Rattus norvegicus: one gene and its partners. The protein of the gene in region 2 purifies or fractionates together with the protein of the main gene of each other region. This does not show direct contact. Links are inferred from orthologs where the notes say so. Each region holds a gene or a part of one and is shown on either strand. Other genes may lie near its edges.

Region 1 (4,172 bases), on a different chromosome or scaffold from region 2:
TGGTGGAAGTCTGGTGGGCAGGTACCTCATTGTTATGCAGAGTCAAGCAGAGTTTGCACTCATAGGATCCCAGGTGGTTCTTCATGAAATACGGGTCCTGGGAGTGAAGAAATGTACCGTGAGACCGCACAGCCTGGCCCCGGGACCCAAGGACCAAGGTGGGCAAGGTGAGGGCTCTGCAGGCCTGGAGACTCTCCCTCCCCCACCTTATTGATGTCGATGGTTTCCAGGGCCAGTTGCCGCAGGCGCTCTCTTCGATCCCGGTTGCTCTCTGAGGAGGAGGCCACGCCCCCACTCCCAGTTTTGCCTCCAGGTCGGTGCTGAAAGTCCATGATGCAGGCCTGGGTACTTTAGGGGACAGGAGAAACCTGGGGAGCAAGGAAGACTAAGGCTTAGAACCCTGCTGATGATGCTAGGACCGCGGGATGGCCCAGCATGCAAGCCATCCCTTCTCTGACCTCCTGATCCTCCCAAGTGCTGTGACTACCATTGAGCCGCCTCTCCCTGATGTAACATATGATTACTATTATTGTTGTTGTTATTATTGAGGGAGGAGTCTCTACGTAGTCATGGCTATCTTAGAACTCTCCTCACACATTAGGCTGGCCTCTGCCTACCTCTGCTGGCATTAGAGGACACACCCTCCTCTGCCTGACACAAGGAATGCTCGATACCAAGGGTCTCACCTTGGAGGCTCAGCCAAAGCCTCCAGACAGTGTTACCTGAGGCAGAACACTTAAGACTACTCAGTCTACTGGTAAACCTACAGTAAACCCAGGGCCAGCGACCAGGAGACAAGTAGAGACAGCTCTTGTCATCATCACTGGTGCCTCCCATAGCACAAGGGGCTCTACAAATGTGACCAAGAACCTTGAGGGCAGGTACCCAGTTACTACAATGTCACTAGAGTGTGCTCAAGGCTGACAGGCCACTGACAGCACTGGCTGTCAAGGAGGAAGAGGCCAGAAGGCAAAGGATACAGGATGCTCTAGGTGCTGAGAGGGACGGCTTGAGAGGTGTACACTGAAGTGGCGGGACAGGAGCAGCCTATTAGATGTTTTGTACTCAGCCAAAGACTGAGAAGGGCATCGTCTACATCATCCAGAGCTACCAACAGACACACTCCCAGAGATGAAGCTGGCCAGACACGAGAGTACAGCCAAACGGTGGGAGAATCAATTGGCTTCTCAGAGTTAGGGGCACCCACAAGCAGCAGCAGCAGGATGGAAAACCACTCCAGGCTCAGGCAAAGACAACTCTTGAGAACATAGGACTCTGTGGCTGGCCTCCCCAGGGAGGCTGGGTGTCCATCCACAGACTTGACGGTGCCACTCAAGGAGAACACTTGTCCAGCATGCACTGGGTCCCCTGGGGGGGCATGCTTGAGGTTGAGTGCATGGATATCCACTGCAGAAATGTAGTTCATCAGCTTTGGAAGGAAAGCAGAATAAAACTGGCCTGGGTGAGCATACTGCTTGGCCCAGTGGATGGAGCACAAAGTTTTGCAAACGCTCACCAATGAACTACCGCCTCAGCCCACCAACAGTTCCCAACCTCAGGAAACAGAAAACATGGGGCATGGCAGTGTATACATTTCCTTCCAGCTCCCTTAGAGGCCAAGGTAGAAAGATGATGGGTATAATTTGAGACCAAACTGGGCTGTGCAGTGAGATCTGTCTCAAATAAAAGACAAAAGGGTGCTGGGTAGGCTGGCAAGATGACTTAGTGGCAGATCACAACCACCAGAAACTCCAGCTCCAGGGAACCTGACAGTCTCTCCTGGACTTGACGTTATCATACTCACACATGAAGCTCCACATGGACACACATTTGGAAAAAAAATCTTTAAAAACACGGGAAAGGGATTCCAATACCAGCTTTTATCTGCTTCCTGACTATGGCTGTAACACGACCACCATAGTGGACTGCACCTTCATACTATCAGTCAAAATAAACCTTCCTTAAAACAAAACAGTCAAGTGTAGTGGCACACGCTGTAAATCTCAGTATGCGGGAGGCAGAGGTATGGGAGTGTATGTGAGCTCGAAATCGGCCTAGTCCACACAGGGTTCCAGGTCAGCCTCAGTTATGCCGTGAGACGCTGTCTGAAATAAAGTAAAATTGTGCCGATGACTGGATGGACTCACAAGTGAAGCCTGGGACAAGAGACCAGGATGAATGGTTGGGAGCCGTGCGACCTCACGGACTACTCTAAGATTACCGATGAACGATCAATAGAAACAGAAGAGTAGTATATGTTAAGGTCACGGTCTGGGAGAAGGCCTGCCTGGTCTAAAGGCAAATCACTTTTTTTTTCTTTTTTCTATTTTTCGGAGCTGGGGACCGAACTCAGGGCCTTGCGCTTGCTAGGCAAGCGCTCTACCACTGAGCTAAATCCCCAACCCCGCAAATCACTTTTAAATGCATATACCGTTATCTTTTAATCCGAGCAACAGACCTACTACAGTGGACAGGAGCAGTAGTCGCCATGGCCCTGACTAACGGCGAGGGAAACTGAGGCAAACAAGCAGGTTAAATGACATTCCAAGAACCCGAACCACCCTAGAGGCCACGGAACCGCCACAAAAGTCCGCGATCACGCCACGACTCAAAGGACCTCGCGAGACCGCGCTCTTAGGGCGAGGGTGCGCCACGCCTAAGGGGAAAGGGCGGCCGCTGCCCCGCCAGGCCCCACGCTCTCGCTCCTACTTTCAAGACCCACAGACGGGGCAGCCGCCACCGACAAACCGCGTAGTTCCTTACCAACACCAAGGCCTCGGTAACTGGGCTTAACCTCCCCGAATGCCGCGATTTTGTTGTGCGCATGCGCACGACCGCTTGAGCAATCACTTCCGGGGGCAAGGAAGGCGGAGTTTCATGTGTGCGCATGCCCAGCGAATGGACTCCCCCTACGGGAGGCGGGAGAAAAAAAAAAGAGCGCCGGGACACGGAGTACGCGTGCGCACTGCATTGTCTACGAATTCTTGCTCCGCCCTAACTCTGTTGGCGCTGACTATCGCGACAGGACTTAAACCTCAGGGTTCACAGGCCCGGGAACGAGCTTCGCGTATCGTGAGGTGCTATGAGTCTAAATTTACACCCCACGTTCAGTGTGTCTGACGGTTATTTAAGGACGGGCGATTTCCTTCCCGTCCGACTCCTTGTTCTACTGTGCTGACCCACCAACTAGCGTCACGCAACACGCCCAACAACGCGCAGGCGCAGTAGCACCGTTGGGACTTACGAGGTCGCTTCCTGAGACTTTTGTGGCGCTAGTAGCGGCTTCGGGCAGGACGGCGGCCGAGAGGCAGGGCGCGTTTTGGTTCGCGCGGATCCGGGCGGCGAGATGCGGTACAACGAGAAAGAGTTGCAAGCGCTGTCCCGGCAGCCGGCAGAGATGGCGGCCGAGCTGGGCATGCGGGGCCCCAAGAAGGGCAGCGGTGAGCTGGTCCGGGCCGGGGCTGGGACACTTGGGCGGGCCGCGGGGTTCCCCGGTGGGCGGATGACAGCAGTTGCGCGCTGACACCGCCCTCTGCCTGCAGTGGCCAAGAGGCGGCTGGTGAAGCTGGTGGTCAACTTCCTCTTTTACTTCCGCCCGGACGAGGCCGAGGTAGGGGTGTGGGGGGCGCGGGGGACCCGCGCGGCCCAGAGGCCGGTGCTCATGGCCGTGTCTCGCGCAGCCCCTCGGAGCCCTGTTGCTGGAGCGCTGCAGAGTGGCCCAGGAAGAGCCGGGAGGCTTCTCCATCAGTAAGTGTTCTGTTCCCCACTTTCCACCCCGGACTCTGCTCCGCGCACGCGATCCTTTTTACTCCCTTAGGAATCTCCATTTGTCCTGGATCTCGCGTCCGCTGGTGGCCCATGACTGTCCCAGCTGTCACTCAGAGTGACCACTGGGTCAGGTTCTCATCTTAGTTTCTTCCCCGATCCTCTGCCGGTTTACGGCCGAGAGAGGTGCAGTCTGTGAACTTGGTGTGTATAACTGAAGCAGTCTCTGCCGTGGGAGTGAGTGTGCGGGCAGGGCTTTGAGGCCTTGAAGGACACCTGTCTCAGCCTTCACCTCTGGAGAGGTCTTTCTGCTGCGTACCTTGTAGAGATTTGTCCATCGTGTCTACCTCTGTCATCCAGTGGGGTTCTCCATCTGTACCCCTATTTTCTGCTTCTTGTACATGTGC
Region 2 (3,511 bases):
GCTGGTGAGATGGCTCAGAGCAGGCGAAGGTGCTTGTTACCAAGTCTTAGTTCCTTACTTCAATCCCCAGAACCCACATAGTAGAACAGACTACAAGCTGCCCTCTGGCCTCCACACAAATGCCATGGCATAAATGAACATGAAAAATCAGACATGGCAGAGTGTGCATTTAATCTCAGTACTCGGGAAGCAGCAGAGGTGGGGGTAGACCTTGGTAAATTCAAAGCTAAGCTGACTAGCCAGAGCTACACAGTGAGACCCGGCCTCAAAAAAAGGAAAAATAAAGGAGTAGGCCATGATGGTACACGCCTTTAATCCTCACACTTCTTGGAAGACAGAGGCAGGCTGATCGCTGAGACAATCAGGGCCAGGCTGGTCTACAAAGTGAACTCCAGACCAGCCAGGCTTACAGAGAAACAATGTTTAATCAAGCAAAGATTAACTGCGACTACACCCAACTCACTAGGATGATAATGAAAAGCTATGGCCATTCTTCACCCCACTGAGTCCAGAGTTCCAGGGGTGGTGAAGTGATGCCCTTCCTAGAATATACCTCATTCTGTAGATTCCAGACCCCGTCCTTGTGGGTGAACTCTTCATAGCTGGTACGGCACTTAGGTAGGATGCGGCACTCAAAGCCACACATGTTGAACAGCAGGTTGGGGTTGTCTTTACTGTACACAGACACAAAGCTATTCTCCCACTGTACTGTAGTCACCGATCGTGGCAGCCGGTTTTTGATGTCCCAGAACACTGCCCGACCCCTATCCACAGAGAACAGAGGCATTTCAGTCTGTTGAAGACACTTGCATCCAAAGACCAGGTAGATGATACCCCAACAGGTTTATATTCCTCCTACCAAGACACAACCTCAATCCTCCCTAATTTCTGGGTCCCTAGGACTAACATCCTTGTAATTCCCACAAACCCAACTGAAACTCACAAGTTGACATCATGCTTCATGAGACGCATACGGGCATCTCGGGGCCAGCATTTCTTATTATTGTAGCCAACAATGTTTTCATTATTGGGGTCTGGATGTTCTGTCAGGTAACGCTGGATCAGATCCCGAGCCTCATCTGCTGTGAACCTACATTAAGACAAGATATATAGTTGAAGTCCAAATATACTAGGACCCTTCGAGAACGCCAGCTCCACAGTGAGGACTCTATGCAACTGAAGGCTTCGTTTCACTTTATAGCCCAAAAGCAGTCAACTAAGCTATAAGAGCCACATTACAGGCAGAACATAGCTCCCTCCCCTGTTGGTTAAAGGAGCTATGCATCATTACCTGAAGAAAATATGGATGCGATCAATGTATCTACAGAAGAGTCGGATTGGGTGTGCAGCCTCGGTGGCTATGTCCTGAAAACTGAGAAAGTCATTTGGCATCTGCGGAGGCCCAGCCATCTCACTGGCCCGGTGCAATCCCAATACAAGCAAATCCATCACCAAACCATAGTACTGTACAATGAATGAGGCAAACTGCAGGCCTCTGATGATTCCATATGAATTTGTATGGTTCATGTCCTAGAAATGAAAAAGGAAAAAAAAAAAAAAAACACAACTCTTAGCTATGGCTATGGTTGGCTGTGTTCCAAGCACTTCAGGGTTCAATCTTCTCCATTCTCCCTTAGCAAATCCTAACTCAATGGGCCAGATGATCCCTTAACACATCTCTTTGCTCCTGGCTCCAGGACAGACCTTATAGTTGATGACTACATTGTTCTTGGCTGTCATGTAGTCAGCTATGTTGTGGTCCACAATGAGTCGCAGCAGCCTGTTGAGCAGGGTCAGGTCAATCTTCTCATACATCTTCTCAAACCGAGACTCCAGCATGACATTGCACTCACCCTCACTCGTCTCCCACACATCCTGCAGGTTATTGATGCCTAAAAAAGCAAAATGTCGGAGCTATGGCATATTACTAACACCTTTTCAGGACTAGTAACCTCAGCAGCTCTCTACACATTCCAAAACTCTCTACCGTCCGTCCATCCATCCATCCATCCACCCACCCACCCACCCACCCACCCACCCATCCATCCATCCTGGTTGCTCTAAGTGTAAGCTTTGCTCAACATCAGTGGTATTCACGCTTCCTTTTTCTTTTGGTTTAGTAGACAGGGTCTCTCTGTGTAGACATGGATGCCCTGGAACTTGCTCTGTAGACCAGGGGGTCCTCAAACCCAGAGATCTGCTGCTGCTGCCTCTGCCTCCTGAACTCGGGATTAAAGGCACATGGGACTACCACCTGGCAGTACTAGTCACTCTTATGTAATAAAATGGACCATGCAGCCTAGGCCTGAATTTTCATACAGAACTCAATTCACCTCCTTTCTCTGCAGAGGGTAACTCCAGAAATTTTTACCTTGGCACCACTTGTAAACAAGCAGTGGAGGGGGTTCTGTGTCAGCAGGCTTGATCCAGGGCGGGAAAAGACGGCGTTTATCTGCTTCATACCACAGGTACTGGTCCAGGTAAGCATCAGTTATTTTCTCCAGTGGTTCCACATCATACACTGGCACAAGGTGGCTATAGAGATCCATAAACTCAATGCCCACCTAGAGGAGGAAGAGCCTGGCTCACATCAACTCATCCAAGCCAATGCGGCACTCACTGCCAAGAATAAGTAGCACAGGCCAAAAGAAAACTTAGGGAGTATTTCACTCACTTCCTTAAAGGCTCTCTGCGTGAGGAGGTGACGCTTGATGCGGGACAAAGCCTCATGGGGGTTGTCATAGGCTTGTTCAATCAGACCCAGCTCCTCCCTCTGAGACTGGTTTAACCTAGACTTCACACTAACAAAGCAAAAAGAAAGGTGTATGAGAAAACCCAAGAAGATGCTAAACCAGAAGGAAATATACCTTCCTGTGAACTCGGACCATGATGCCACTCTCTCTCTGCTATCCTCCCAACAGGAACCCTCCAGCCACTCCTTACCTATAAGCTTCCTTGAGTCGCTCCAGAGCCAAGATAAGCAACTTGGTGTCATGCTTGTAGGAGAGTGGGGGGAACGGGATAGGAGAGAACCTACGGCTTTCCAGCCAGTGCACAGTGGTAGTATACACTGCCACTGCTTCCTCTGCTGTGATGTAAGGCCCGTCCTGGAAGGTGAACATCACGTTATCCCCCACTATTGTCCAAACTCAGGCAAAGCATCATCTTCACTCTGCAGCCCACCTTGCCACCCAGCCCCCACACACCCAGTCTAGCTGGCCCAACCTTCAGGTAATTGTGCTGCCGCTCCTGTTCTGCCTTCAGATACAGGCGGGTGAGGCGGCCCAGGTTCTTTTTGCAAACAGTCTTGTCTACAGTAGCCCCACGGCGAATCCGTTCACGGTTGTAGTGGGCAGTATTGGTCCACCAATCAGCCTTGGCCTTAACGTACCGAAGAATCATATTCTCTATAGGCGTTGGCAGTCCTGGGACCTGCAGGTACAAACACGATGAAAAAAGGTAGTAAGAACCAAGCACAGTGCTCCACACCTGCACCCGGCATAAAGCCGGA
Region 3 (4,211 bases), on a different chromosome or scaffold from region 2:
AGCCCAGAATACATGAGAGCCTGTATTAGTAGTAACAGTAAGGAGGTAGCACATGCCTTTATCCCAGCACTCTGGAAGCAGAGGCAGACTGATCTATTGAGTTCAAGGCCAACTTGGTCTACAGAATGAGTTCCAGGACAATCAAGGCTGCAGAGAGGTCTTGTCTTCAAAAACCAAAAAAGGAAAAAGGAAAGGGAGAAGAACTACATCTCAGTACTCCGGGATGTAACTCTGGACAGAACAGTTGCCTAGCAGGTACAAAGCCCTGGACCTGATCCTTACAATTCTTAGCACAACAAAGGAGGGTAGGGATGGGGGAAAACTGTAAGATCCACACAACACACTACCACAGGCAAATCTCCAGGGAAAAAAGCCAAATTCCGAAGGTTGCATAGTGCATAACTCCACTTTCACGACACCCGAGAAATGACAACACTGTACAAGTGGAGAACATCTGAGTGGCACCCAGGAGGTTCAGTAAGACAGAAAGGAACTGACAGTGACTACTCACAAGCAGCAAGAGGGTGTGAGGTGTGTTGGCGCACACCTGTGGTCTCAATACTCAAACGGCAGAAGGGAAAAAAGGCAGCGTGGTGGCACAGCACAGGCAGTGTGAGGCCAGCCTGAGATACACAGTGAGCACCAAGGACAGAGGAAAGGAGGCCAGTATACTCACAGGCAGTTAAAAGGCATCCTTGCAATGATACAATGTTGTCTTCACTGTTTTAGTATTCACATAGTGTCTGTATTTAGGTATGCGCAGTGCATTTGGAAGTCAGAAAACAACTTTGAGAAACTGTTCTTGCCTTCTGCCTTGTTTTTTGGTTTTTTGTTTTGTTTTGTTTTGTTTGTTTTGGGTTTTTTTTTAATATTATTTAGTGTATATGAGTACACTGTAGCTGTCTTCAGACACACCAGAAGAGAGCATCAGATCTCATTACAGATGGTTGTGGGCCACCATGTGGTTGCTGGGATTTGAACTCAGGACCTCTGGAGGAGCAGTCAGTGCTCCTAACCACTGAGTCATCTCTCCAGCCTGCCTTCTGCCTTGTTGAGAAAGGGTCTTTCTTGTTTCTTGCAGAATACTGCAAGCTAGTTGGTTCTCAAACTTAGATGGCATGTCCTGCCTCCACCTCTCACCTCACCATAGGAGTGCCAGGATTAAAGACTCATACTACTAACACATTCAGCTTTTTACACGAGTTCAGGGGATAGAACTCAGGTCTTCAGGTTTTCACAGCAAGTGCTTTTACAAGCTAAGCCATTTGCCCAGGCCTTGAACTACAGTCTTCTACAGTGGCTCTTAAAATGAAGGTCATGACCCCAATATTTACATTAAGGTTCATAACAGTAGCAAGATTACAGTTTGAAGTCTCAATGAAAATAATTTTCTTGTCAGAGGTCACCACAACATGAGGAAACTGTATTAAAGTGTTGCAGCATTAGTAAGATTAAAAACCACTGTTCTAGAACCTAGTTAATATAGGAAAAAAACAAGTCAAGTGTGGGGGCGCACACCTTTAGCCTAGCACGTAGAAGCAGAGGCAAGCGGATCACTGAGTTCAAGGCCACCCTGGTCTACAGAGCAACTTTCAGGCCAGGCAGAACTCAAGACTGTCTCAAAAAACTAAAATTAAAAAGTGAAATATATGGGGCTATAGAGATGACAGTTAAGAGCACTGGCTGTTCTCCCAGAGGACCCAGCTTCAGTTCCCAGCACCCACGTGGCAACTCATAACTGTAACACCTGTTCCAGGGGATCCAAGATCTTTTTTCTTTTTTTTTAAGATTTATATATAATAAGTACACTGTAGCTGTCTTCAGACACACCAGAAGAGGGCATCAGATCTCATTACTGATAGTTGAAAGCCACCATGTTGCTGGGAATTGAACTCAGGACCTCTGGAAGAGCAGTCAGTGCTCTTAACCACGAGCCATCTCTCCAGCCTCCATAAAAATAAATTTTAAAAATGAAATATATATAGATAAAAATAATACCGTGGGAAAAAAATAATACCGTGGGTTTAATACCCAGCAAGGGGAGAAAAGGTATGTGCTTTACACATATGTATAAACAAGGCAAATTCCTCAAGTAGGAAAAATACAACCTTTCCAGAATTATCACACAACTTCTTCAGTGCCTATCACAGGGCATCTTCTACAAAAAATAGGCACTTCAGTTCCCCTAGTATAAGGAAAACCTATGGAAGACAAGAATTTTGTATTTATGTCTATCATAACAAAAAAAATGTCCATTCACTATTTCCTTATTTCTATTTGACAGTCTTTAAGATAAGTACTTCATGCTAAGGCTTGTGGCCTCACTAGCTTAAGATACTGTCCCATACTTGTATTTATTTCCATTTATAGATGCGAAGCCGAGGATAACTGATTTGCCTTCAGTCGCAGTGCTAGTAAACAGTAAACAGGGTTCCATCTAAGGATTTACGCTTGGGGGCCCACGTTATTCCGGAACATCCCTCTTCCTGAACTGCTGTCCATCCTGGCTCCCCAGAGACTGAGCAGCCCCATCAGGCACCCTGAAGCCCCTTCAAGTGAAGCGGGCGACCGTGCGCCCAGGGACCGCAGACGCGACAAGCACAACGGCCTCAGCCAAGGCCCTGCGGATACGCGGGGCAGCGGCCCACCTGCTCAGAGCCGGCTCCTCGTCGCTCGGCTCTTCCACCGCGTAGGGGTCATAGTCATCCTGGAGCCGGTTCATGGCGGCCTAAGGATGCCTACACGGTCCCGGTGTCTGTGTACTCCTCAAGCACCTTCCCTAAAGCCTCCGGGACACTCCACTTCCGCCCATATTGCGAGTCCTTCCTGTGCGCCTGCGCAAGCCGTCCCACGGAAAAGGATGTCAGCGACGGGGCGTGCGGAGGGTCAATGTTACCACGTCTCTGCGTTTTCTTTTCCGCTGAAAACAGCAGTTGTCTTTGTGTTTTTCTTTTCTTTTTCTTCTTTTTCTTCTTCTTACTCGTCTCTTCTTTCTCCTCCTTTTTTTTAAAGCTTTATTTCGGTTTTGAGACGGTCTTACTGGCCCAGTCTAACCTGCAACTAGTTATGTAGCCCAGGCTGACTTCCCTCTGCCTACCGTGACTTGCTTGCGGAGAGCTGAGATTACAGTTGTATGTCACTAGCCTGTCTGATTTATTCCATCAAAGTTGTTACCTTAGCCTTTCTCCCTTGATTTATTATTAGTTTTACTGGCTGTGTGCAAATGTATGATAGTCCTACTCAGAAAAACAAAAAACAAAAAACACGGAAATCCGATCCTCTTTTACTAGTTAAACTTAACAAGAGTGAATCTCTTGGAATTGTGTCCTATGAGGATGAATTCCCTCCACTAGCAGAAACTGAATGAGCTAAAATTTCCTCGTTGCCGAGAGCCTGTAGAATGTACCCTGGGCGGCCCAGGGCTTCGAAGCTTAGGTTTTGATTTTCACACTTGATCGCCCAGGATCAACAAGCCCCTCCGCTCCCGGCCCCACAACCTTAGTGGACGGAGTTGCGCTGAGGGGGCCTACGTGACGTCACCACAGGGGCGTGGAGTATGTAGATGATTGTACATGCAAAGGCTACCGGTTCCCCCAACATAGATTGCTCACGCCGTTAGTGGATAATATCTACATTGTGTAAAGTGTGCTTTTAGGGTGCAATATTAGAAAAGAATGTGATGTAGAGAAGGAACATTGAAGAAAACACCGTAACTATAAGTAAGTGTATAATGATGGGGAACCTGCTTGAGGGGGAGGCAACTCATACTTACCTGGCAGGGGAGATACCATGATCACGAAGGTGGTTTTCCCAGGGCGAGGCTTATCCATTGCACTCCGGATGTGCTGACCCCTGCGATTTCCCCAAATGCGGGAAACTCGACTGCATAATTTGTGGTAGTGGGGGACTGCGTTCGCGCTCTCCCCTGGCTTCATGTTATAAAGATAGTTAGCTGCTCTATACATGATGTGTGTAGTAGCTATGAACTTACAGTGGTTTTTATCTATGTGTCTTTGGATGTATGAACATGCAACATCTGTTGCCAAGCAAGCTAAAATGCTATTTGAAAAGTTATTATACACAATGACAATTGTACTATCAGCGTTGTTGAGGTCTATGTAGTCTTAAGTGAAACAAAACCAAAAGGTGGCAAGAGCTCATTGTGGGTGGTGCTACCTACCGCCTGGGCTCCACTACCTTTTCTTCACTGA
Region 4 (4,035 bases), on a different chromosome or scaffold from region 2:
TGAAATGCACCAGGCAAATACTGGTTACTACTGATGTTCCATTTAAATTGTACTTGGAATAATAACGGGCACTAATATACTGCGCTAAAAAGGATGGAAACTAGTCATCTACTTCAGATATTTTATATAAACACTACTAAGCATGGGCATTAATATGTATACATATCTATAGAAAAAAAACCCAAGAAAGCACTTAATATCAATGAGCAAGACAAGAGATATGCCTTATAACTGGAGTACTGCACAAATAGGCCCCAAATTCCAAGAGCTCAGATATTACATTTTGTATTTAAGAATAAGTATGGTCTCCAAAGATGGAAATAATGATTTGGAGTAACTTACTGCTCTTTTCTTTATACCTTAAAGTGTGAAAATTTCTTGCTCACTGCATCTTATTTAATTTCAGCTACCACAGGATTGTAGTGAAACACACTTCTACCTACAAAGAATCATAATTATTGAGTTTCGATCAGGAATACTAAGAACCATTAGAATAAAAATGTCCTCAGATTTTCCAGAGCTGGTGAGATGGTTCAGAGTGAAAAACTGAGTTGACCCCTGGGGCCAGCATGGTCAAGAGGAAGTATCTAATTCCATGTTTTCTTCTGCTTGCCACAAGCAGTGGTCATACACCCAAACACACAAAAGTGTGCTGGAATGGAGACAACAGGGTCTGGTGACAGCTGGGGTGACAAAATGAACAAGCCTATGCTGTCAAATACACTAAACAAGAGCAAAAAGGAAGGAAAAGAGGGAGGGAGGGAGGAGAGGAGGGACAGAATCCCTGGCAGTCAAAAGTGCCTTCAAACTAAGTGAGGAAGAGAAAATCAATAGATACCAAGCACAAATACTGTATAAACTCATTGCTAAAGAAAATCAGTTCTATAAGAAAAAGTACTCAAAACACTTACGAAACAGCAACAACTGCCCTCCAGAATCTCTAGAAATTAAGGAATTACTCTTCAACTGAACTCTCCTGTACTTACTGACAAATATTAAATACTCAGAGAAAACATGAAGCTACCATGATACACCCAAAGTCCATTTTACCAATGTTATACATTAGCAAGAGAAATCACCATGATCACTGTGATCAATGTGGAGCCACTAATCGAAATAAATGCACTGAGTAGTGAACACACACACACAAAAACACTGAAAAGAACTATCTCAGAGTGACCTCTAAGTGGGAAATTAGTTGCATCTTAGCCAAATGTGACAATCACTACACTTTATCAATCCAATAAGAATGGCATTATGACAGGTGGTAATGTTTAACTACAGTTTTATGTTTCATGTTGAGAAAAGGAGATTTCTAGATGCCACTGTAAAGTATGGAAAAGATCACTGTAATGTTGCTCTCCCTTGGAGAATAATCATGAGCTGTATTTCTACCTAAGAACTGACTGAGCTCAAATATGAACGCTTGGAATTTTTGCTTGCGGGAATAGCTAGCTGTCTTGGGATGTTGTATTATTACAATGCTTAGTATTACAAGCTTTAAAAAAAAAACTACAGAATCAAAACATAACAAACCTACTTTCCATATTCAATATTTCAATCTAAGGAGAGCATCAGAACACATCCTATCCTGACCTATACCTCCCATTGGTAGTTAGAAAGCAAGCCCAAAAGACTTAAAATCTCAAGAGACCACACATCTGACTTGACAGCTAGTGTCACAGGACGTAAGAAAATGATAAAAGCATACAACAGTTTTGGACATTCGGACTTCTGTGTTATATTTTTTTAACTAACCAAACAGATCTCTGTACTGCCAAAGTATAAACATACAGTTAATTAAAATGGAAGGGTAGGAATATAAGCTAAAGTACATTTTAAGTATGAACTGTCACAGAAAAGCTGGAAAATGATAATACAACTGCTTACATGCTAAATGCCCCGTCTTTGCAAAAGTCTAGGAAAAGGAACCAAACTGCCAGACCAAGAATCGGTGTAAGCATTCCTCAATCTGCACGTGGGTGTTGTTTGTTCAAACACGCTTAAGATCACTTTTTGAAAAGTGCGTCCAAAGTCGGGAGGAGATAGAAATAACTTACAGAGCGGAGGGAGATTACGTATTTTCACAGGCCTACCCCACTGATGCTTAGCAAGGCCGGTTTTTAAGCAAAGCAGGAAATAAAGGAGATGGCGGGAGGGCAAGCAGAGGGCGGAAGTTGGCAACGGCCTCTTCTGAAGTGCCTCAATGGAAGGAGGCCGTCCGTCTCCCGCCAAACAGTGCGCCCCGAGGTCGGCTGGTCTTTATCCCCAAGTAGACAGCTCCCGCCGCCGCCCGGGGCCGCTCAAGGGGCAGTGCCCTTGGCCACCCCATTCCGGACACTCTCCCCGGCTGCGGGCCTCACGCGAGCACCGAGGCCTCGCGGCCCGCTCCTCACGCCCGCCGCCCGCGGCCTCGTGGCCACCACAGGCCTCTCACCCTGACCGCACACACTCGGCCCGCGCCCCAGCCGGCCGATGGCAGACAAAGACTCGGCTGCCGGGCCTGCTCCCCGCCACAAGCCAACAAAGCCCGAGCCGCGACTGCGCACCCGGTCTGTCTTACCCATCGGTCCCCGCACGCTTCTTGCCGGAGGGGTAATCCTCCCCCAGGTCCAACCGATGCCTCTTGGACATCTTCGCACTCCCAGAGCGGACGCTTAGGAAGGAAGGAAGAAGAGAGACTCCAGCAGCCGGATCCACACAGAAGAGGCCCGCTGCTCAACTCGCAGGGACCCCCACCCCTCCCGCCACCACAGACCGCTCCGTGCGGCCCGAACCAGGAGCTAAAATGGCGGCCACGACGAGGGCAGGGCCTGCGCGCGCGCCGCCGCGGCGGGCGTGCCGGCGTGGTGCGCGCGCACGCCGCCCGGAGGCGGGAACTCCCGTCCCGCCCGATGTGCCATTGGCTGAATGGCTCTGCGCCCCGCGGGCTCCTCCCCTCTCCTCCTAGCTGTGAGCCGCTCTGAGCGATTGCGAAGGACGAAGATGAGCCTCAAGCTGTCACTTGCTGCCTGGAGTTCGTTCGGAAAGTTGGAAAAGCCTAGTTCTAATTAGGAAATCTATCCAGCTGTGTATTTACTTTTGTTTTTAGGGTCTGAAGCTCAGGAAGGCTTAAGGAAACAAGATCACACAGCTGGTAAGTGGCAGAGCAGGGCACAATTATTTTATAACTCCAGAACAGGAATTTGCAGTTGTTGCGCCAGATTCCCAGCCGCGGTGAGAAACATGTTAATTTACTGTGACTCGTTTTGTCCACTTACCCCAGAACAGTATTTATTCAATCTATAGGTGTTTTGGATAGGGTTCAGAAAATTGGAGGAATTCGTACTGGACACCTTATTTTTTCTCCAATCCTCTGCCCTAGTCTCTCTCCGTTTGTGTATATATGAGTACATATTAGGCACTTGGAGATGTTAACCCTATCTCTGTCCTCGTTTGGTTTGGTTTGGTTTGGTTTGGTTTGGTTTGGTTTGGTTTTCTAAGACAGGGTTTCTCTGTGTAGTTCTGGCTGTCCTCAAACATGCTCTGTAGAAGAGGCTAGCCTGGAATTCAGAGATCAGGTGCTGTCTCTGCCTCCCAGTGCTGGGATTAAAGACATGCCCTAGCATGCCTAGTTGCTGTGCTCCTTAGTAGAGTGAACCCTGAAAGACATTTTATAGACATAATCACCTAGACTGAAGGAAATCAACAAATAGCGCATCCATTAAAACTCCACTGTAATGGCAAGTTGTTGAGGGAAGGTGACACTTAAGAGGTTGTGTATCTTTCTCCCTTCAGCCTATGTGCTTGCTCAATTGCATTTATTTCCAGAAGTGTGGGGGGAAAGAATTCTAATGATCAGCCCAAACACAGAGTATCACTTCATGTCAAGATTCTCCTTGACTGCTCCTTGGCTCTAGTCCCTCAAAAATTCTCAAAAGATTAAATACAACAGAAACATGGCAGATGACAGCTTCTATTTTTGTATCATCCATCAGTACAAATTCAAATGAATATCTTTTTGTTACTTTCACAATACCCAATACAACCTTCTAA

What was found. The genes of interacting proteins can lie anywhere in the genome.
Region 1: the proteins of Prpf8 (region 2) and Sf3a2 purify together in Homo sapiens (affinity purification with mass spectrometry; 3 studies listed by BioGRID and IntAct, with this or other methods). This does not show direct contact. The link is inferred for Rattus norvegicus from reciprocal best matches to the Homo sapiens genes PRPF8 and SF3A2.
Region 3: the proteins of Prpf8 (region 2) and Eapp purify together in Homo sapiens (affinity purification with mass spectrometry; 4 studies listed by BioGRID and IntAct, counting the BioPlex papers as one, with this or other methods). This does not show direct contact. The link is inferred for Rattus norvegicus from reciprocal best matches to the Homo sapiens genes PRPF8 and EAPP.
Region 4: the proteins of Prpf8 (region 2) and Dhx15 fractionate together in Homo sapiens (co-fractionation; 3 studies listed by BioGRID, with this or other methods). This does not show direct contact. The link is inferred for Rattus norvegicus from reciprocal best matches to the Homo sapiens genes PRPF8 and DHX15.

The regions. Positions count from the first base shown.
Region 1 is NC_086025.1:9,563,398-9,567,569, forward strand, and holds the start of Sf3a2 (splicing factor 3A subunit 2), read right to left. Parts: upstream 2,803-4,172; 5' UTR 2,764-2,802; intron 369-2,763; 5' UTR 333-368; coding exon 207-332; intron 98-206; coding exon 26-97; intron 1-25. Other genes in the region: Plekhj1 (pleckstrin homology domain-containing family J member 1), read left to right, coding at 2,899-3,077, 3,191-3,440, 3,681-3,747. UniProt on the Homo sapiens protein: Component of the 17S U2 SnRNP complex of the spliceosome, a large ribonucleoprotein complex that removes introns from transcribed pre-mRNAs.
Region 2 is NC_086028.1:60,836,274-60,839,784, reverse strand, and holds part of Prpf8 (pre-mRNA-processing-splicing factor 8), read right to left. Parts: intron 3,433-3,511; coding exon 3,226-3,432; intron 3,108-3,225; coding exon 2,944-3,107; intron 2,802-2,943; coding exon 2,675-2,801; intron 2,565-2,674; coding exon 2,372-2,564; intron 1,893-2,371; coding exon 1,705-1,892; intron 1,531-1,704; coding exon 1,292-1,530; intron 1,091-1,291; coding exon 944-1,090; intron 765-943; coding exon 554-764; intron 1-553. UniProt on the Homo sapiens protein: Plays a role in pre-mRNA splicing as core component of precatalytic, catalytic and postcatalytic spliceosomal complexes, both of the predominant U2-type spliceosome and the minor U12-type spliceosome.
Region 3 is NC_086024.1:77,926,113-77,930,323, forward strand, and holds the start of Eapp (E2F-associated phosphoprotein), read right to left. Parts: upstream 2,803-4,211; 5' UTR 2,723-2,802; coding exon 2,649-2,722; intron 1-2,648. UniProt on the Homo sapiens protein: May play an important role in the fine-tuning of both major E2F1 activities, the regulation of the cell-cycle and the induction of apoptosis. Promotes S-phase entry, and inhibits p14(ARP) expression.
Region 4 is NC_086032.1:62,998,665-63,002,699, reverse strand, and holds the start of Dhx15 (ATP-dependent RNA helicase DHX15), read right to left. Parts: upstream 2,803-4,035; 5' UTR 2,635-2,802; coding exon 2,564-2,634; intron 1-2,563.